Neodiprion lecontei: one gene and its partner. The protein of the gene in region 1 interacts with the protein of each later gene in a pairwise test. Links are inferred from orthologs where the notes say so. Each region holds a gene or a part of one and is shown on either strand. Other genes may lie near its edges.

The links. The genes of interacting proteins can lie anywhere in the genome.
Region 2: the proteins of homeobox protein extradenticle (region 1) and homeotic protein antennapedia interact in a protein complementation assay, tested with the Drosophila melanogaster proteins (2 studies listed by BioGRID). The link is inferred for Neodiprion lecontei from reciprocal best matches to the Drosophila melanogaster genes exd and Antp.

The regions. Positions count from the first base shown.
Region 1 is NC_060262.1:32,544,166-32,554,798, reverse strand, and holds the start of homeobox protein extradenticle, read left to right. Parts: upstream 1-5,364; 5' UTR 5,365-5,524; intron 5,525-5,932; exon of another isoform or gene 5,933-7,359; 5' UTR 7,360-7,546; coding exon 7,547-7,779; intron 7,780-8,157; coding exon 8,158-8,231; intron 8,232-10,633. Other genes in the region: surfeit locus protein 6 homolog, read right to left, coding at 3,521-4,242, 4,430-4,480, 4,580-4,715. UniProt on the Drosophila melanogaster protein: Transcription factor which acts with the selector homeodomain proteins altering the regulation of downstream target genes such as wingless (wg), teashirt (tsh) and decapentaplegic (dpp), thus affecting segmental identity.
Region 2 is NC_060260.1:3,270,235-3,281,184, forward strand, and holds the start of homeotic protein antennapedia, read left to right. Parts: upstream 1-4,115; 5' UTR 4,116-4,605; intron 4,606-5,745; 5' UTR 5,746-5,849; intron 5,850-10,950. UniProt on the Drosophila melanogaster protein: Sequence-specific transcription factor which is part of a developmental regulatory system that regulates segmental identity in the mesothorax. Provides cells with specific positional identities on the anterior-posterior axis.

The DNA of each region.
Region 1 (10,633 bases):
TGAAATCTCCTATCGCACAATCGGAAATCTAGACGACGAATTATACAGCTATTGCGAACGCGCAAAACGCGATTAATTAAACAAATAAGTCTCGAGCGAATATGCACAACTTGTACAAAATAGAAACAGCTGTTAATTATTATATTATCAATTGCTATACAGTGCAGTAGATGTATGTGTAATATATTACGCGGGGAAGTAGAATAACGTATGTAATATGTGTATATAATTGGAATTACGAGTTTTAAATTGTAAGAGGTCTGCAGTTAATTTGAAATGCGTAATTGTTCCGGTACCTCTGAAGTATCGGTGTCGATATTACCTTTTATACAACTGTAGAATTGAAATCAAATTAAAATATACACGACACCGTACAGTGATTGCTTTATTTTGTTGTGTCTAAACATTACCAATCATAAATTTCATTAATGGAATATGGTGATAATTACATACAATTACCTTTCAATACTTTTTTAAAACACACCCGCATATTCTGATTCCGAATATTGATCTTCACCGTACATAGAATACACTGCAACTGTGGTTTAACCGGGGCGCACCGGTTACCACTCTCGAATTAAAATAACTGAGGCAAGACTTTTCAATTGAATAACTTTTGCGACATACGGCGTAAAATAATCGATACCTCGAATGATTATGATAGCACGCAAAAAACTCGCTAAAGAATTGCATGTACGCCTATATGGGTATAGTTAGTGTATCCAGTGACAGAGTATAACGTAATTATTTTTAACGGCTATTGGTCACGCAATTATTCAAAAGTGTCACAGGCCAATATCAGATTATGGGTATATAAATGTATAATAACTACTCTAGATTATAGGCAGGTACACGTGTATAATATTAGCAAGTCTAGGTAAAAAATCCAACCGAAAGAGCAATCAATTCCCATGTTGAGTCATTTTCAAAATTTTTGATAAAAGGAAAAAAAAAATGATCACCCACTTGAGCGATGCCTCATGTTCGAATCTACCGACATGGCTTTGCTTGTACTACACACGTTTATAGGGTAGTCGCTAATTTGCATTCTTACGTATGTAATGATCATATTGATCGTACATCCTTGCGCAGAACGCGGATCACTTTGGCATATTAAAAATTATCTGCTTTGCACGGAGCTCTGCGAGACTTGCACAACAATCGTTACGCAAATAAAAAGGTCTGATCTACGGCAGCCTATCTTTCTTGTGCTAAAGTAACGGTTACCGTAACATCATTTTCTTCCAATCGACAACGTCGAACAACTGTCTCGTAAAAAATCATAATTCAAGCGCGATTGATAAGACATCATCTCTAAATGGATGAAATTATAAAGAATTGTACGATAGTACGAAGGGATGTTGACGGGCTGCGAATAATCATATAATATTGAAGTTCATAACGTTATCGTAACGAATCATGATGAGGAAAACGGTTATTTTTCGATTTTGGAATTGTCTGAAATTCAGTGAACCGAAATAAAACGAAACAATCTCATATTTCGAAATTTTAGTTCCATAAAAATAGTTGTAACATTATGAAAATAGTGATTTTTTGCCCCAATGTTTCCTTACGATAACGTAACTAACTTCAACCTCGTTGCCAATCAAAAATGCTAAACTAATACTTATAAATTGAGAAATTTGTGGTCGCTCGTGAAATGTGAAAAATAGTTGTAATGTAGGTGTCTGAAAAAGAATAGCAGCAAATGGACCAACGCATCAGAAGAATTGTATAATGGAGATGTAACAAACATTAATCAGATATTGTAGAGCAAAATTAGAGTAATATGCCGAATAGTCGAGTAAATATTTTTATCCTCACGCCTCGGTAAGAAGTGAGTAAGTAGTAAGTATCTTATATCTATAATTAGTTAGGCGAAAATGGTAGAGAAGGAAAAGATGCCAACCTTATTGATATACTGATAAGTGTTGTAAGTTACAAACTTGAAACATGTTCTACACATAATGAAATGCCCACTTATGCCTTCCAGGAGTACTTTCAAGGCACAAATTTCATCCGGAGATAAAATTAAGTCGCGTGTAAATATATCGTTCAACTTTATTCCAATTATATTACGTGCAAATATTTATTCAGTCTAGGTACGTAACTTGTCTGTTTACGGTTCAATTGCGTCACACGTTACAGATTTTCAAGTCTAATAAAATATTCGTCTGCCAAATTCTGCCGATTAGACGGCACGAGTACATTTTATATCCCGTTAAATAAGTCCACTCGAATACATTTTTTAATTACAAGGAACACTAATGCATTAGTCATGGTATTCATCATTTCAAACACTCCAAAACACACGATAATTACGACTGGCATATTGCAACGATCACAGCAGCAAATGGTAATTGTTGCATACAGCTAAACTATAATCGAAATCAAGTGAATATGTTAAATTTTTTAGGCAACACCCGCGAAGCGTAATAATAAAATATAGTTTTAAGAATGATGTATGTGTAATTGTGAAAATTGTTTGTGGCTATTGTCAAGTTTATCATGATGCACTTATTACGTTCTAAATGTTGCTATGTTGGTGGACATACCAAGATAATTGGATCAGAGTCCCATTAATTTCATAATGCCTGGAGGATTGGAGGAATTTTAATTTCTAAAACAATTTCTAAAATTAAAATCTACTTGAAGGCAGTACAAAAATTGAGAACAAAATGTCATCGCTACGAACATCACGTTGCAATATCTGGAGAATGGGCCCCTTGAATTCGATTTTCAGATTCAAACTCAATTATACAAGTGCGTTAAAAACGTAGTGCTGAGTACAGAAGTTCACAATTGGTTAGCGGAGAATAGCAGTGCAACACTGAAACTGCGTAAATACCATATCAAAGTAGTAGACTTTGCATGAATATGTACGTTAAAGTTACGGCTCAATTTATATATTGACCAACAATATGCTGACATTAGAATTAGAAGCACAAATACAAGAATCAGATAACAGTAGTCACAATCACGCGAAGCAGAACTTGTCGAATGTTTTAGATATTCGACGGTGATAAAACTTTTGTACGTATGCTGGTACAAGCTTGAGGCTAGGCGTAGCGTAGTACTAATTCGACGAAGTTCAATTTAAAAAAAAAAACTTTGAAGTTTTCAGTTCAAAAGCATAACAGGATCTTGAGAAAAAATGTTGGCGTACCATATTTATAGAGTGTAATAAGATGAATTAATTTTACTAGCATCGTTTCCAAAAAATACTGTATGTACTAAAGATATTCGCTGAATAAACTATATATTTTAATAACAAAATCAGCCCACAATTGCAGCGCCGCTGTCTGAGTTTTTCCTATTTGTGAATAACACTGTCTTCGTTTGACTTTGCAACAAGTCACGATGAAAATAATCTGTTTGAATGCCATGGAAACTGTGTTGCAAATAACATCACAACTTGCGAACATGATAATATATTTGAACCACGTTACTTGATCTCATAACGCTTTTTTTACATACAGTGACAATTCTTGTGCTAAGTTGATGATTCAAAGAAAGCTATTCAAAATCCAGGTATGATTCGACCCTTCTTAGAAGCTCTCTTCAGGTTGTTTATTTTGTTTTCCCTTTTTCGTTTGTTAATGTTTTCTTGTCTTTTTTGTTGTTTCTCTTCCAGCGATTTCTGAACCTTTTCTTTTCGAGCCTCCCATTTTTTAGCGCTATGTTTCCTTTTTTGCTCTTCTTTTTTGACTGATTTTTTCAATAACTCTGGATTATCCTTGACTTTTTCCCCACTTGCCTTGGCTAGAACAGTTTTCCAAGCTTGTCTCTCCTGAAGTTCATCGGCCGCATCTTTTTTTCCAGCTTGCTGTAGTTCGTTTATCTTCAACTTCTGTTTTTCCAACTTTTGCAGAATCTTTTTGGGATCCTTGTCTACTTTAGGCTGTACTTTTTTAGCACCGATTTCTGAGAAGTCGAATTTACTGAAGACCATTTTACCTTCCGAATTGAAAATTGGTTTCGGTCTTGTGAACTTGGGCACATCTCCGTTCTCATGCTTCGCTTTGGCACCCCCAGCTGCAGCCAACTCTGTCTTGGCCAGTTTTTTCTGCATCAATCTCTCTTCTTTTTTACTTTTTTTCTTCAGTCTATTTTTCAGGCCCTTTTTCAAAAGTTTCGCTTTATAATCCAATCGCTTTCCCTTCAACTGTTCCAATTTTTCATGCAACTCTATTAACGTATTCGCTCTCGACGTGCCTGACCCCAGAGCCAAAAACATCTTTTCTATAACCCAAAACGAGAGTATTTGGTAATTAACAGTAATGGATGAACTTTTCATCAATCTTTTATAGGAATCCTTGGAAATATCAATTATGTAGTCTTTCCACACGCAAGCGTGCCGCTGATAACCAAGAACTTTAAATATTCTACAATTGTTATCTCTAGCAGACTTATTGCAAAAAACTAATACCTCTGTCATTGGTTTGTTGCTCGTGGTCGGCATCATCGTCTTGGAATTCATCTGCAATAAAAAAAGCGTTAAATTATATCTCGTTGTCAACCAGACGAGTCTATACAACGTAAGAATTATCAAATTTTCAGGTTATATTTGAGTTCGAACCGTTTTTGTGCAGGGCAGAGTATGGTATAGGCATACGGGAGAACAAATCTGTTATGTACTTATTTTCCCTTATCAATATCTGCTTCGCCAACTTCACGTCGAATGATTTAGCCTTACGCGTCTCTGTTAACTGCATCTTGTCTTTCCTTTTAACCACAAAATTTCACGTGCACCTCCTGCAGCTTGTAAATATAATGACGATGACGAACAGCAGTCGCCGCGGCGTGGTCAAATCGCGAAACGTACGAGAGAGAAGCAGACAGAAGCCTGAGAGAGCCCACGCTTGCACTTCTCGTGTCTCCGGTGTATTAGCGCCCTTTGACACCATACAGGTATTCAGAACTAGTTTTAGAGATATTTGAACGGTAAAGGCATGACGGTAACTGAACTGCACTCTGCAGTATCTTCAGTGATCGGCCATATTCGGCATCACGAAAACAGTGGATGTTAGTAATTTGTTCATATTTGACTACTGATCCCCGTAAATGTGTTCCGCATCGTTCACTGTTTTCACGACGCTTAATACGGCAGAGTATTGGTCGGTTACGCCACGCGTTTACCGACCAAATACCTCGAAAATTAGTGTCAAAAACCTATATCACGGAAAGACGAGCGTGAGCTCTCTCAGGCCCGTAGACTTACTGAGTCTGTGTCTGGTACTATCAAATGACGCACAGATGGCGCTACTATCAATTGGGAAACGTCATTCCAGGCAAGGAGGGAGTGATAAAGAAGGTGCAACGTTGAGGTTGAATATTCTTGTACCGTTATCAGCAGCAGACATTCTTACCGGCGAAAAGTAGCGAGCAAAACTTTGCAAGGAAACGTGGGTAGACGTCAAGCCTCGTTGTCACTTGGATTAGATTAGGTTAAGTTAAGGTTATTTTGGGTTATGTTAGAATTTTATCCGTGAATCCTGACGAATCTGACGTTTCCGTAAGCCAGGTATGAAACCATTATTTATTTTGATTTATCCCAGCTGACGGACATAATTATACGCACTATTGCACGCATACATTCATTAATTTATTGTTTATTGTAGTAAACAGCAACGACAGTCTGAAAAGTTGAGTTCAAATTTTTTCGTTACAACGGTGATAAATTCAACACTTGATAACAGCGGCTAATTTTTATTCCAAAATTTTTTAACATATAAGTTTCCCAGATACCAAATATTACCACGTAATCGCAAAAGAAATCCTGCAACATCGGTTCCAGTTCCAATCAACAACTGCATTCAAACATGGCCGCCATGGAAGCCATGTTTATTTGCCGCGCATGCTCACGGGTTTGTTTGGCAAATTAAACCTCCGTTTAGACGCTTGAGAGTTGATATTTTGCCGGTAAAACACGAGTAAAAATATTATTTTTCACCAATAAGTAAACAGTGGGACAAATACGTATCAACATGCCGCCTAATCGGGTACATAAATAAAAACTGTAGAATAAAAAGTGCAATGTGGGCGGAGTCTGCGTCGCAACTGCTGTCAGGAATGAGCGTCGGATGCGCGACGTGCGAGACTAAACCTGCCTTACGTGAATACAATCAGCATTAATGTGAAAAACTTTTATACAATGATCAGACCTTAGTGAATATCGGAGTGTTGGCGACAGTGCGTGTAAACCGTGAACGACATCGAATCGGTGATAGTTTGATGCTCGGAGGTTAAATAAACAAGCGTCAACGAAGAGTCGCGCATGGGGCAGCAAACAAGTGAGAGAGAGACGTCTCGTGTCGGAGGACGGAGCGCGAATGCGGTCCTCTGATTGGCGGGAACGGGTATGGCTGGCGCACGCACACTCGGCACCGAGGGAAGCTAGTTTCACACTAACCAAAGTCAGATCGCTAGAGACAGAACGCACACGGGCCGCGCGCTGCCTTGTAAAGGCACAGAGTAATGCCATACGAATGGCAAGAGTTTTCCAAATCGGCCTAGGCTTACCGTGAAACACCGTCGAAAACAACAATACCGAGGATTCGAAAACGGTAACGAGGATGACGTAAATTAATAGTTATTAAAAAGTAATAAATAAAACAAATAGATACATAAAATAATAACTGTAATAAAACGAACCGTGTATACGTAACACTTTGACAATCCGTCAACTAGACACTACTCTACATCATACCGACTACGAACCTAAAACATAAGAGATATATATATACACATATATATATCATAAAGGATAAAAAAGAATACAATAATACAATAAAATATAAGAATAAACGTAAGTGTGAACGTTGGAAATTCGAGACAAAGGAAATTAATACCAGAAGACACTGTTGTATATATATATATATATATATATATATTGTATATACACATATATATATATACACACATATAAATACATATACGATGCTGATAGTGTCTACGAATTATTTTCAATCGCGTTTTAATGTAACAAATCGATAATAATAACCACAGTGATTATTATTGTTATTGTTATTATTATTACCGTAGTTGCGAGTATATACATATATATATTTCCAAATAATCCCGAAGAGAACGACGAAGGTAGCAGAGTTTGCCGTATTTACACACGGAGAAACATATGTACGCGATATAAGATTCGTTGTTAGTTACGGATAAAGTGGAACACGTGTTGAAAAATTAATACAACGACGAAAGTTTGTGCGCGAGATGGGAGTATTTTAATAATCATCATCATCATCGTCCAATAATAATCGCAAAATAGAAGAGAAATGAGAAAGTGAAACGCGTCGGTTGGCGATTGTTTGATTGTTTGTTTACTGTTGTGTGTTTCTTTGTTTTTAGTTCTTGTAAATCTTGTAAAGAAAACCATTCGGGATCAGTCATTCGTCGCTCCGAAGTCCTGACAAAATCGCGAGAGGCATCATAAAAAAAAAAAACGAAAAAAAAAAAACTAAAAACAAAAACAGAGCAAAGAGAACATCGGTGCTCCAGCGAGCCGCCAGACGTAAACGGAGCTGGTACTCAGTTGATGGATGAAACTGGAAGGATGCTGCAACACGGTGGTTCAGGTGTGAGTCTGATGGGGGGCAACCAGGGTCAAGGGGCCCAAAACACGGGGGGCTACGGCAGCATGGGGCCCGTCGATGCGAGCGCGGCTCAAGGCCCCGATCAGAGCGTCGAGGCGAGGAAACAGGACATCGGCGAAATATTACAGCAGATTATGAACATAACGGACCAAAGTTTGGACGAGGCACAGGCTAGGTAATTAAATTCCCAATTCAATCATTTCGCGAGTATACTTTAGGGAAAATATGAATATCGCGCGGACGAAATTCCGTCGGGAACTTGATTCTGTCGATGATTCAGGGATCGATACTCTGTAATTTAGAATGGAAAGAGGTGACGATTACGGTAACAAGTGCCTGCTCATAGAGTTACTAATGCGTTGAGTGTAATTCGTTTTCATAACCGAAATAAAGGAGGCGCAAAATACGACAAGCGATCGGTTTGAGAGTTGTTTAACACTTGAATATACCGGCCTTATTGCGGGTTATTGTTGTTTTTAATTTATATCGAATATGTGTACGCTGTCTGTTTAAACAATAGTTAAACGTCTTTTCTGTTTGTTATTGTCCACAGAAAACACACGCTAAATTGCCACAGAATGAAACCAGCCCTATTCTCCGTCTTGTGCGAAATCAAAGAAAAAACTGGTAAGCTAAGACATCAGATACCTGCATTATCGAATTCGAATTTCATACGTTGTTCAAATGCTGTACGATACATTCCGACCTACGTTTTCGCGATTATTCAACGACTGTCGCCGTCCGTGCAGAGAATCGAAAAAGAAGGTCACACGGCTACATGCAGTTCGTGCACACGTCCGTTTGTTTATACTTCGCCTCAAGCCGGAGGAACATTTTAGTTTTAAAAGAATTTCGAAGGGTTTTAAGCAGCGGCGACGCTGTCACACCGTATCAATGTCACCCGCAATGATGGATGATCGGCCACGATTTTATCGCACCTTATCTCGCGATGCTATCAGTGTGACAATACGTTACATAAAATGTGCCAGGGGATAAAGAGTAACTAAAAACGACCAATCAGACCAAAGAAAGAAGATTTAAAAAAAAAGGAAATAAAAATAACAGATACGAGAAAAGTACCTGCAGAAGCAACGGGAGTCCGTAAATCACACCTCCCTCATTCGTTCATTCATTCATTCGTTCAATCACCGACAGGGAAAACAATTCAACTTTCTTCCATCGTCTCTCTTCTCTTCCTCACCTCCCATCCTTCGCGGCATGCATTGATTGTCATGCTCGTCGTTGATCCGAGCGCGTGGGTAGCGAAGAACTCGATTTAAACGACGTGTTCCGCAATTGGCGGGATTTGATTTCGGTCCTTCCCTGCATCTTGGATCGAATGCCTCTCCTCGCGGTTCACTGGGCTCGGAAGAAGACAGACAGGCAGACGTACGGATAGACGTTTCTGTTGACGGTGAACGACCCTTGATATGCTGCTGCAGGCGCGTCATCCCCCCTTCCCATCCCATTTTTTCCGATCAGGGGAGTCGGCACAGAAAAGCTGAAGAGCCGTCAGCGACGGAAAAGGGGGCCTGAAAACAGGGGAGCCCCAAAATAATTGCGCACTTCGTGGTCTCTCTATCCACGCGTAAAGTAATCCAAACATCACATAAAAATTATGTTTACGAGTTTCGAATTGGTATTGGGGGGCCCGCTGTATTCCCAACCGAGAGAGCGACGCGACGCTCCGTGTGCATACGTATATGTACGCATGTGTGCACATGTATGTACTTACATGTATGAACGTGCGCGGGACGCCGCGTCGTGGTGTGTATCACGCTCGGCGCGATGCAGAGCTACTCATGCATGTGGGACGAATGCCGGTGTGTAAATCTGTACACGCCTACACAGAAACCGGGGATAGAACTGAACTGCGCCGCTCCACCACAGAGTTTATGGGCAATGGCTGACGAGGCAGTGAAAAAGCACTAAAATGGAGAAGAGCAGATAAACGCTATGTTAAGCAGACCGTTTTCCCGCGTACTTAATATAATCAGGGTTCTCATGGGGCGAGGATAGATTCGAATTAGAGATCCGTGAACCCCGTATAACCGATCATCGTTCGCCGTCGGCGATGGATTTTTTTCGATTACGATAAACTCGTCCAAGCCGATAATGAGCGGAGACGATACGAAGAGAGAAAGCAAATGCAGACCATTCCGAAACCGTACCTCTTGCGTTAGTTGAGCCATTGATCCGTTTCGTAATATTTTAAAATACGATAAATAAGCGTATTACAAGAGGTTCGTTTTTTTTTTTTTTTTTTTTATTCTTGTTTTGATAATTTTTCCGAGATTTTTCGATGAACTCTGTAATCTGCGAAGATACGATTTAGACGCGGAGTTTAGAGCGTCCGTGAGCTCGGACGAACGCACCGACACTTGATTTACTCGAAGATAAACAAAACCCTTTTTCTTCCCCCGTTCCGCCGAAGAGCTCCGCGGTTCTTTGGTTGGTTGGTTGGTTGGTTCGTCGGCAGCCGTCTGTCTGACCGCGTCCTTTCCGCCTCTGGCTCGGTGAAGAATGTGAGAAAAACACCTTGCGCGCTTTGCGCACGCTGCCAGCCAAGGGAAATACAGCCCCTAAATTTCCACCATTGTCACGGCGTTTAGGGTCCTATTCATTTTCGGGCCCTGGATACCTCGCCCTTACCTTTTCTACATTCTACTCTCCTGACAGCGGGCGGTGCCGAAATTCACGTGAAAAAGGAGGCCTCGTTCGGTCATGTACTACTTCGAGTCTCTCCTCTTCTCTCCTCTTCTCTCATCTTCTCTTCTCTTCTCTTCTCTTCTCTTTTCTTCTCCGCGCCGCACCGACGTTGCCACGGTTTCTGGTCTAAAAATATATATATTTTCACGCCACGGGTCGCGCGTTCAACCATCGCCAACACTGTAATACTTTTGTGTATAATATCACGGTATTCGAGGGACGAGTCAGGAGGCGATGATTTCTGGTCCAGTCCGGAACCCGTAGTTATAATTTAATTGTAAGGGGATGTCGGAGTGCCGACGGAGTGACCGAATCGTATT
Region 2 (10,950 bases), on another chromosome or scaffold:
GAATTCGGTGATTCCCCTTGCGACGGTGAGAAATCGGGCGTATTTGGAGCAAGAGCGGAAGTTCTGCGTCGGTATCTCGAAGATGGAATAGCTCGTTGTGTTTTTATGGCCTCCTTTCTTCTTCCACCAATTTTACAAGCTATAAGTTCTTTCGATCAATGGGCCGCGGAGAGGCGCGTGCGCTGGTTAGACGCTTCCCTCCCTCTCCGCGTCTTTGGCAGGACTCCGAAAACCAGTATAGGTCCGTCCTTGTTCAACCCGAAGAGGAGGAGAACGGTGTTCGAGCGAATGCCACCAGATGTCAGCATTACTTTACGACCCTTGAAACGACTCGAACGACCAGCGAACGGTGGTTAGACCATGAATGGTTTTATCGCTCATTTGCTCGGCTGAATGGAACTTGACACCTACACCGTGAAGACGAGGAGATTTCCGTGTCGTACACATCCAAGCATGGGAATGGGGAGATGGAACACCGTCAACAGCCACATTTCTCCTAATCGTCACTAAATTATTATTATCACTTTATGCCGTAGGTATACACTCTCGACACTGTTGTGCACCGTGAAACGATTCCCCCTTTAAGTGCGCGCGCGTTCGTTCCTCGCTATTGCTTACTTCCAAAAGACCCGGAAGATTGCTCGAACTTCCTTTTGCCTCGGAGAGATGTTCAGGGATTTAATTTTTTCTCTCTTATTTGGTGGGAGGAATACGAGGGATACCTTTTCCCGGCGAATGCTCCGACAGATTGAAGGTAAAATACCTACCCACTCTTGGAATGAACGATATTCCGTTTCTCCCTTTTTCCTCGGATAACGTTACCTAGTTTGGCAAGGACGGTTTTTAAGTATTTTCCGTGGGGCAAGGCGGGCGGGCCGAGCGCGTGTAGCTCAGGGTGTCTTGAGGTGGTGGAGGGCTGATTTATTCAAGTTAATTCCAATTCCATTGGAGGAGCGAGGGGGTGGTGGAGGTGAGGCGGGGGTCGCTGGGTGGCTGGTGGCAGCGACGGGGGTGGATATTCTTATGCAATTTGCCAGAAAGGTTCAAGAACCCAGGAGATCCCGCAATTTATCTTGCCTTATGTTACTCCGAGCCAAGGCAACGGAAGATAGATGGCGTCACTGGTTTCAACCCCCCGCAGCACCCTTCGGCTTCTACCTTGCGACCACCCCATCCCATGGCCAATGAGGGACGACCCGTGGTGGCCATCTTGGATGGAGAGTTATTGAACGAAAAAGATGAGTAAGAAACTTGTTATGGGGGTTCGTTCGTTCGTTCGTTCGTTTTCCCCGCGGCGGTAGGGAACGCACCACGGGTGCCCGAGGCGGAGAAAGGGGAAGGGGGGGGGGGGGGGGGGTGAACGAAACGGGGGAGAAAGCTTGGGCTGGAGAGAAAAGAGAAGAGACGACGTTGGCCGGGGGGGAGGGAGGGAAGGAAGGGGTTGCCAGCGGTGGCGGTGGCCGTGGCGCTATATTGATCAATTGCCAGCACGCCGTGCTTTGCACTACTTTCCAGCCATAAAATACAACGCGTTGCGGCACCCGCAGGGCCACCACCCTCACCCTCACCCTCACCCTCGCATCCTCGGGTGTTACGATGACGGTAAAACGCTGCTGTAATTAGAAAACAATTGGCCTTAATACGAGCGAGCAGAGAAATGACTTCCCTCTTTATCCACCTTTCAACAAATTTCGTCTCGATTATTGCGCCACTATCAACAACACCATACTCGCCAATTCGTGATCGTCAATCAATTTATTTTATTAATACACTCCAACATTAGGTCAGCATATGTCTTTACGTTTTGACACACAGACTGCGTGACCTTTTTTTCTTCCTTTAAACGCAGATTAGTAGGTTACAAACGATATTCTTGTACACCTCTGCAACACGTATACTTAATGTTCCGAAGAGGGTAATAACACGTCATTCGCGTAGATACCGTGTTTCACGATCTGTTTAATTCGACTCGGCTCGATGCGCTCGTGGTTCAGAAGAGGTGCCAGCTAATAGGAAGATTGCACAGCGTTTCTTTTTAATTAAAACTATATAGTTTGGTTCGAAAATCACCGCTCTGTACGTATTCGGATTTAGTCTGTATTCCGGCGCCGCCACGCCGTCGCGAAATATTTACACTACAATTGCGTAGGAAACCGACAGACTTACGACGGTTCAACGTCCGGATGCTTTGAAATCTGACGAGCGGTTTTCTGTCCTACCCACTTGAGATGCGGGAGGAAAAATCGTGCCGGTATTGGACAACGGTGAACGCGCCATGACGACCAACGTTGACGGATGAACGGGAAACGTTAGAAAGTAATCATTTTGTTTCGGGCCGCGTTCGGCAGGAACGTTCCATGCTCACAAAATACGTACTTAGAGGGAGCTCGAGGCGTGATATAGCTAGGAATTCGGTTGGGGCAGCGCTCGGACCCACTCCGGTTGAAATCCGGACGTCGGGCGTCTCGTTCGTTTGTGCCTACTGGACGCGGCGTTGGCATTTGCATTCTGTGAAACGTACCAGAATTTCTCTTCCCTCGTAAATTGACGATTAATAATCTGAGCGTATCTCTGCCCTGCCCTGCCCTGCGCTGCCTGGGCTGCGCCACAACTTACATAAACACGTTTAACCCAGCGCTCTCACGCACCGATCAAAAGGAATTCCTGAAAGCCACGTGGCCGAAGCCCGACCGCTTCTGGAATACCTCGACACCTGCACGAGGAGCGTGAACGCAACCTGATTACAGCTCCAGTTTTGGCGTGACTCGGGCCTCGCGATTGGCCGAGAAAAAATTTCAACTCGCGGGACAAAAGCCACGGGAAGGCCGCGGGTGGTCACGGGCACATTCATGGGTGGTCGTCTTGTGTGCGGGTGGAAACTCTGGCATGCCCGCGGTGTCCGTGGTTTATGAGCGCGTGCGCCGCGGCCGGATCGGTGTGAGTGACGCTGGGAGTTCAGTCGGTGAACATTCGGGACGACGGTGTGCGTGGAAAACGGTGCGTGAGCGGCCTCGCAACGCGTTAATTACACCTCACTGCGGCAACCGGAGAGTGCCGCCGGGTACGAAAAGAGTCGGGTATAAACACAGCCGTACAAGGAGGGTAGCAGTGTCAGAGAGTCGGCGTTTCGCATGCGGATGAATAAATACATATTATACCGCGATCGAACACGTAGCTCTACGTATATGTATAACGTATACGGGTAAGAGAGCCGCGGATTATAAGGCAGATCGTAGAACTCTACGCAAACTGGCTGCGTAATTTTTAATTGATCCTGCGGGGTATGAAAAGTGTCCTCCGCCCCTTCCCCACAGCAGGGATTACGTAAAGTATAATCATGTCCGTTTTTGCGCAACGATTGATAATAAAATTCTGCGTACAAGCTTAAGCCTATTTCATCACTGATCACCGCTCGGGGAATCGTATGGTCGTGAAAATTGTTCGTCTCGTTCAAAACGCCAAGCTGCATTGCCGCCGGGTCTGAGAGCTTGAGCTTTTTTCCGATAGACAGTGCTGGCGTCGCCACCGTCGCGACGCCATCTAGGGAACGGAGACGTAACCCCGTCCTGACCACGTGCGTGTCCCTTCCCCTCCATCCCCCACCCTTTCCCGCCCGACTAAGTTGCGCCGACTAGCGAGCGAGCGAGCTTTTGCCGACCGTCAAAGGGCCGCGAGCACCCGGCGTCGGTGGGGAAGTTACGCCGCTTTTCCGCGATGGTGGGGGGGGGAGGGGACGCCCGGCGTCGTGGGGCGAGCTTCGCGGCCCGGGAAGAACGGGGAGCGGAGGGCACCCACGCCTCCCACAGCGCAGAATCCCATCGATCATTCCGCCGTTTCCCAGTGTTTCACACCGTCGTGTTGCGCCGTACATGACCACCCACACACCCTCGATCCTCTAAGTGTGCGCCCGGCACAGGTACCGTACAGCAGTGGCGCAGCGGCGTCGGTGTGCCCCCCTGCCCCTCCCCCACCATCCCCCTTCATCGTCCGCCTCCCCCCATCGCTCGCGTCGTGACGGCTCGGCGGGCAATGCCGACCATCACGAGGGGCCTACCTTCCTTCTTGTTATATTTATGCGAGCGCTCGCGACCGAGGAGGTTTATGTTCCCAGTGTGTCCATAGGTACACCTGTTCGCGGTTTTGCCGATCCATATATAACCGACGAACCAACTAACCAACCCTCTTGTTTCTTTGGGGGAACAAATTGATAACGGTGAAACTGAAATGGTCTGACGTCGCGCTCGTCGGACATCGCGCGTTGCGTTTACGTCGCGATCCGGAGACGGAGGAGAGTTTTTCGCGACTTGGTGCAGGGGGTGAGGGTTGATCCGATCACTTATTCCGGGGGTAGGGGGCACTCACAACGTGGCTGCCGCGACACCGATGATCGGCTCTCCCTTTACCCGCGTGTGCTTGTGCGGTGCCACGTGCCAAGTGCAGCCAATAAGTGCGCGAGTGTTGGCTTCGAGTTCGGCCAATAGGATTACCGGATGATCTGGACCCGGGTTGGATGCAGGCGGTAATGAAGCGCTCGGAATTTGGAGGAACTCGTGCCAGACCGTGATTTACCTAAGAACCCCGCCGACCGGAACCTCGAACCACTCGGTTAGTTTGCCAGTGTTTTATCTCGCGCAGAATTCACTCTCGCCGGGGAGATTGTTGTTTCTTTTTTATCGCGTAATGGCTCGTTTCGGAATTGAAATGCAGACGGAATACTCAGGCTCGCTAAATCGTCCTGGTCGGAAATAAAAAAAAAAAAAACCCAAGACAAAAGCTCGCCGCGGTGATACAGTGAAATTTGACAGACCCGACGCCGGGGCGGATTCCAACACGCGAAATAGATCCCGATGGTCGTCTGCAAATCCGCCCATTGTGCGAAACGATTCATATCCATGAATCACGTGTTAATGAACGTTCTTTGCGAAGACGTTTATCCTTACAAGCCTAGTACCGATTCCGTAACGTCGCGGCCTCTTGTCCTGAAAACACGCGTTTAAATAATTACCAGGCACGTTGTACTCTAAGGTAAAAAGAAAGAACCTCTAGTGAGACGAGACTTTTAGGAGTCGAGACCGTGGGGAAAGTGAGACGTGAAGAGATTCAAATCGGCCTACCTTCTTTAGCAAAATAAAAGTCACAATAATCTTGATAATAATAACAGTGGCATCTTGCCAGTGAATAAATATGAATGAGTACAGGTGGGTTCTCACAGTAGGATTTTATATAATCTTAGAATAAACTGGCCGGGCATATCACGGATGTAAATCTGGTGTGTCGAAACGAGTTCTGTTTCCGCGTTAAAGCGTCGCGAGAGAACGAGCAACTCCTCGCAAACTTGCTGAAAATATGAATGTTGAAATACTTTTCTATTTTCACCGCAAGATGCACGCGTACATTGTCCGATGTTCCAATACGTGTAGTTTCGAGTTGCCAAAACATCTGTAATTCCATTCGGTGCCTGAATGTATTTTTATCAAATCTTAGGTGACAAACAACGTGTGTACGGACCTTTTTGTTTCACGTCGTGTGCGATGGTGAAAAAACGATGGAATGTAACAAAATTCGGTATTAATAAATAGTCGACTAATTATCTAACCGATTTTGCACCTCATCGCGGGGTTCGTTCAAGGCAGCGACCTTGCGCCCTCGCTTACAGAAGGTGTTGATTAATTAGTAGCACATATTCCGACTCACCGGTACATGTGCGAGTTGTGTTGTATAATAGCGGGTTATTTATTGTTCCAGGTAAGTGACGTTGCGACACTCGAGGGGCGGCTCGGCACCCGGTACTCGCGGATTCCATTTACCATGCCGACATGAGTCGACTCGCCCTGCGGCAGTGCTGTAAGGTAACGAAGTTCCATCATGGATATTCATGCGCTGAGCAAAAATTGTTGAATTCCAAGAAATCGAGAACTCGACTCGTCCTCCGCGGCGATGCGTGTTGCATGTGTGAGCCACGACGGACGCAGGGGTGGTCGGTCGGTGGTGCTCAAGCGATTCCCGAAAGTGAAGTTTGGGAACTGGCGGATCGTAAGAGAAAAGGAATCGTAATAAATACATAAATAATTAGATATGACCGCGGGTGTACAGGTGCAAACGAGTTTAAAGAAGCCCGCGGTTATTAGCGGGCCCTGCGGGAGGGACCAGGGCACCTCGCGGGGAACGGTGGAACGGCGGAACGGTGGAACGAGGAACAGCGGGGTGCGACGGGGCCCGGGCCCTGTGAGAAATAAGAATATAATAAGCTGGCCGGCTGTCGGGGCCGGTTCGTACAGGCCGTAGTTTGTGGCTGTGGTGTCTACGGATCGTGCCCCGTTCTTTCCGTTCCCCGCTATCCTCCTCTCCCCGTTTCTTCTGGCCCCTCCTTCGTCAACGGTGAACCCGGCCGGGCCACACACCGTCGGCTTGTAAGACACGCGGTGAGATTAAATGCTTCATTAATGTGATTAAAGTAAAAAGCTGCCTGAGTAATGAGACGCGGTGAATCATTCACAGCCGTTTGCTCTCCAACCACAACTTCGCTGCGGCATGCTCGTATTCTCGTTTTTCTCAAAACTCAAACCCTCCTTCCAGCCTCGCGTATCCGATGCACAAGTCAGTAAAGACATTGCGCGGCAAGTTGGCATTCAACAAAAAGCTCATCCTATTTCTTTGTATGTACTCGAAATTTCAGATCATAAAGTGAAAAATCTTTCGAAGAGTTCGAGTCTCGGAGAATTATTGTTGGTTAAAATGTGGATAAACTGCCGTCAGGGAAGGGTTCGGGTACGAAATTCTCTTCTGACGGGAGAGTTCATAAAAATATACAGACTCTTCCACCACCGCGGTGGTAAGTCTCGGCCCCATGGTCTCGGACGCTTCTTGAGAACGACCGCAAGAGTCCCGGAGGGCCTGGCAGGGTTAAGCTGTACAAATTCCTGGCTACGAATGGCGGGTGGAGGGAGCGAATGGTGGAAAAGGGCAAATGCGCACCGGTCAGGCAAACTTTATGTACGGGCCGCGTACACGCGGAGCGTATTTGAGAAGAGGTAAAAAATGAATGGATGAAATTAAAAAGAAAAAGAAAAAGAAGAAGGTATCGGATGGCGCGGGACATCTGCGTTCGAACGGATATTGAAACCATGGTACCAAACGGTCTCTGGTAGCACGAAGCCGACGATAGAACTGCCAACGACTTGCCATACAAACGTCCCGTCGATTGCGAACAAACCTACGTTCGGGACGTCGCTGCGGAACGTCCTCGTCCTCGGAAGGTCTTAAGGCCCGTCGATTCGACGGCTTAGCAGTTCCGCCACGGGTTCTTTCGCCGAGCGTTTTCCCACGTAGCTGCGGCTCTCCGGGCAGCACTTTTCGACGCTAGCTTCAAACCGAGGTTCGCGATTCCACGCGCGGATATCGAGTAGCCCGCCCAAACACGCCCTGGCGCAATAAATTAACTTTCACCGTGACTAAAAATGCCGCCCGGTTGATCCGATCCCTGTGATTTGCTGATTAGATTTCACACCGTGAAAAAGTAGCGCCGGAAAATGATATAATGATCTTGCAATGTCGATGCCGTCGTTTCGAGGCTCGATACATCGGTAGTCAAGTTTGCTCGGAGAATAAACGGCCGGTCAGAGAACCGGATCTTGCAAGCCTCTTACATACGCAGAGACAAATGGTCTTCAGCGAGACGAAGTCAATTGAATATCAACGAGTATGGATGGTTAGGCTCTTTGAGGGATCGGAATCAATTATCGATCTCCAGCGATTTATGCACGGCAGCCGATGTGCCGTATTATTTTTGTTCGTCAAAATTCGTCGGCTCATTTTGAGACCGAATCTTTTTATCGGTCGGTGAGTAACGAGGATGCTCAGAGAATCTGGCGTGTGGATATTACCTGGGAGAGAGAGACGCGTACGATAATCCGCCGACTATTACTTAGAGAGGTAGATCTGAAAAGGATTGCCGGAGTAAGGCGAGTGCGGGCAAGGTGCCGGAGTTGACGCAAAGTGCAGGCAGATGCGATCGGCGATTACGCACTTGCGGCGTTAGCCCATATAAACGCGGACACCATGCGTCTTCCAGCGTGACATCACTGGCCGAGCGCTAATCGCGCGACAATCTTTGCCTCCGCAAACTTGGGCCGAGCAAAGCAGAGGCGAAGGAAAGCGAAACAAGGCAAAGCAAACCGAGCCGAGTCAGGCCAAGTCGAGGAAAGAGTCCAACGCCGACTGTCCGGTTCGTCCTGATATCTCAGACTCTCGAACAAACGACAATCGTATAATTAGGTGTCCAGCCGAACACCAAGCCAACATCACGAACAATCCTTACACGCAATATTCCACGGCTGTAACGCGAGGTCCTTGGTTGTGTGCTATTTATCCGCGATACGCATGCTATATTTGCTTCTCTCTACCGGGCGTTCCAGCCGCTGCACCTTGTGTTCCGGATGTCGTGACCGTCACTACGGGGGTGTGTAGTACACACCTTGGACGAGGATATTTCTCAAGGAACGGAATGCTGGAAAGGATTTCTCGCTTCGGCAGGACAGGGCATGATCCAGTTGTTCAAGGCAGGATTCTCTAGGTGTAGCCTCTTGTAGCTGGATGCGATCGGTATAAGAGCCGGTTGCCGTGCTATTAATAAGAGTGATAAATCGTTCATCGAAGTCCCGCGAAGTAGGCATGGTATTATACCACGTTGCCACGTTCATAGCGCGGCTGATGTTCCTTCGTACTCGGTGAAGAACACTCTTCTTCGCATCGTGTTCGTGAAAGTTTACCATCAAAATATCGGATCAAGTTTCAGAGAAACGAAACTGTTAGCTTGTGTCAAACTTGTGTCACTTTAGAATATTTCTGCACCAATCTCATTTCAAATCTCGATTGATCGTCGAAGATTTTGAGCTCCAAATTTTGACTTTCATCTATATTTCGAATGTGGTTACAAATGAAAGAATCTAAGTTCCGAGTCCACTGACAGGTAATTGATGGAACAGTAAGTCAGCAGCACGAATCCCTTTCTCAATGATTTTAGGGTGTGATGAGACTCCTCTACAACGTATCGCGTAAGTCGCACAGCGATACCAAGTATGAGGCACACGTAGACCAGAGGCAGTAATCGTTGTTTCGAAACGTCAAATTATCTGGTGTGTAACATTTGTTTGCTCAGTGTCGTACGCCGGAGTGTGGATTACACTCCGGGTATAATTCCGTCCGTTGCCCGGCTCCCAACTGCAGAATTCTCCGTTGCGTCGTCGTTCTTTGGTCGACGGTACGTGAGCAAGATACCGGGTACACACCGCGTGGTTCTTGGTGGTGTACAAAAGTACGGGAGTGAGGCAGTGTGCGGCACACAGATACCCATCTATCGAACCTATGCCTCTATACGTTGGCCGCACGCAGCAAACCTGTAATTTAACCCCCGAGCGGCCGCCTTCCTGCCTCCCTACCCCAATAACCATTATAATTATTGTCTCCCCCCTCAAATGGACTCTCGTAATTACCAGGCTCGCGCGTATTTGTCGAGTGTAGCGGTTTTTGGTTTGCGTTTTTTTTCTTTATTTTCTTTTTTTTTTTTTTTTGCTGCATTTTTGCCAATTCCTATTTTCTAGTCCCTGGTCTTTTACATTATACACTTTATGATCCATTCATCCCATCGTCTGCTCATTGTTTCTATCAATTTTTTGTTTTTTTTTTTAATTCGCGCATAAAGTCGCTAACCTGTCAACTACATCGAGGATGCAAGATCGTTTATCGATTTATAGGATATCGTTTGAATGTTTAATCAACTGAATTATGCGTTACGCGATCGCGTCAATTCGCGACAAAACATATTCTCGGTTGTAGACATTTTTTTTATAAAAATAAATTTGCTAACTGATTTCCGTGCGGTGATTGCGTCAGGCCTAATATTCGCACGTCGAATAAAACCTTGCGAAATGTATATATTATACAAATCGATGTAATTTATTTTAAAACTCATGCACACTCATCACTCGTGGATACGATTAGTTGCTGTTGTATCGGTAAATTTTCGATTCATCGACAAGAATTTTCGTCTCTAAGACTGGTTTGCCGATTTCTACTGATTTTTTTTTTCCGTGCTCTTCGCACATGGATCCGACCGATCTCGTCAGACGCCCGTGCAATGCAAATTCTGTAATTAATTAACCCGGTCTGAACGACACGACCTTTAAGATTGAATAATATTACGGTATAACGACAACCTGAGTGCGGGTAAAGTTTCATCCGGACCGCGGTGTACAAAGCGAGGATTTACACGTGGCATACATGTATGCGATGCATGGTTACTTAAGTACATACTGCGAATGCATGCACGGTCACCTACCTGCAGTTGCCAACCTCCGCGACGAGTCGCGTGTGAACTTGCTCGAATTTTAATATACGTATATCCAGCTCATACCGAAACCGGTCGGCTAATGTGGGCTCTGCACGACACCTTCGTCGAGCCAATTCAGCCACGATTTCGGACCAATTCCACGGCAGGCTTTGTGGGTGACAGCGGTTAGCGGCACGCTACATCATTCTAGGAGTGTCGAAAGCTCATTTGAATAAACAGGAACTCCCGACAGAAGGGCGGACCACCACTGATACCGAGCCGAAGAGCCGCCCTCAAATTTTTCAAAAGCAGACAAATCCTCGTTCCTTTCGGTAACGAAGTGAAAGAAAATACTCGCTTCTTAACTGCGGGCTTAAAACTAGAAACTGATCGTAAACCTTGTTGAGATTCAGGCCTACCTCGTTACATACTTACCTACTTATATACCGTTGTGAAAATTTAATTAAATCCAAGTTTTATTGACGCGTTGCGCAATACCAGAGATCAAGAGTTGAGTAGGACGTCGTTGAGACGTGGTTATTTTCTCCGCGGGATTCGTTCTTTTTTAGCTTCACTTTATTCTTTTAGCTTATCACTGTTTCATCTCTGAAAACTCGTCTCAT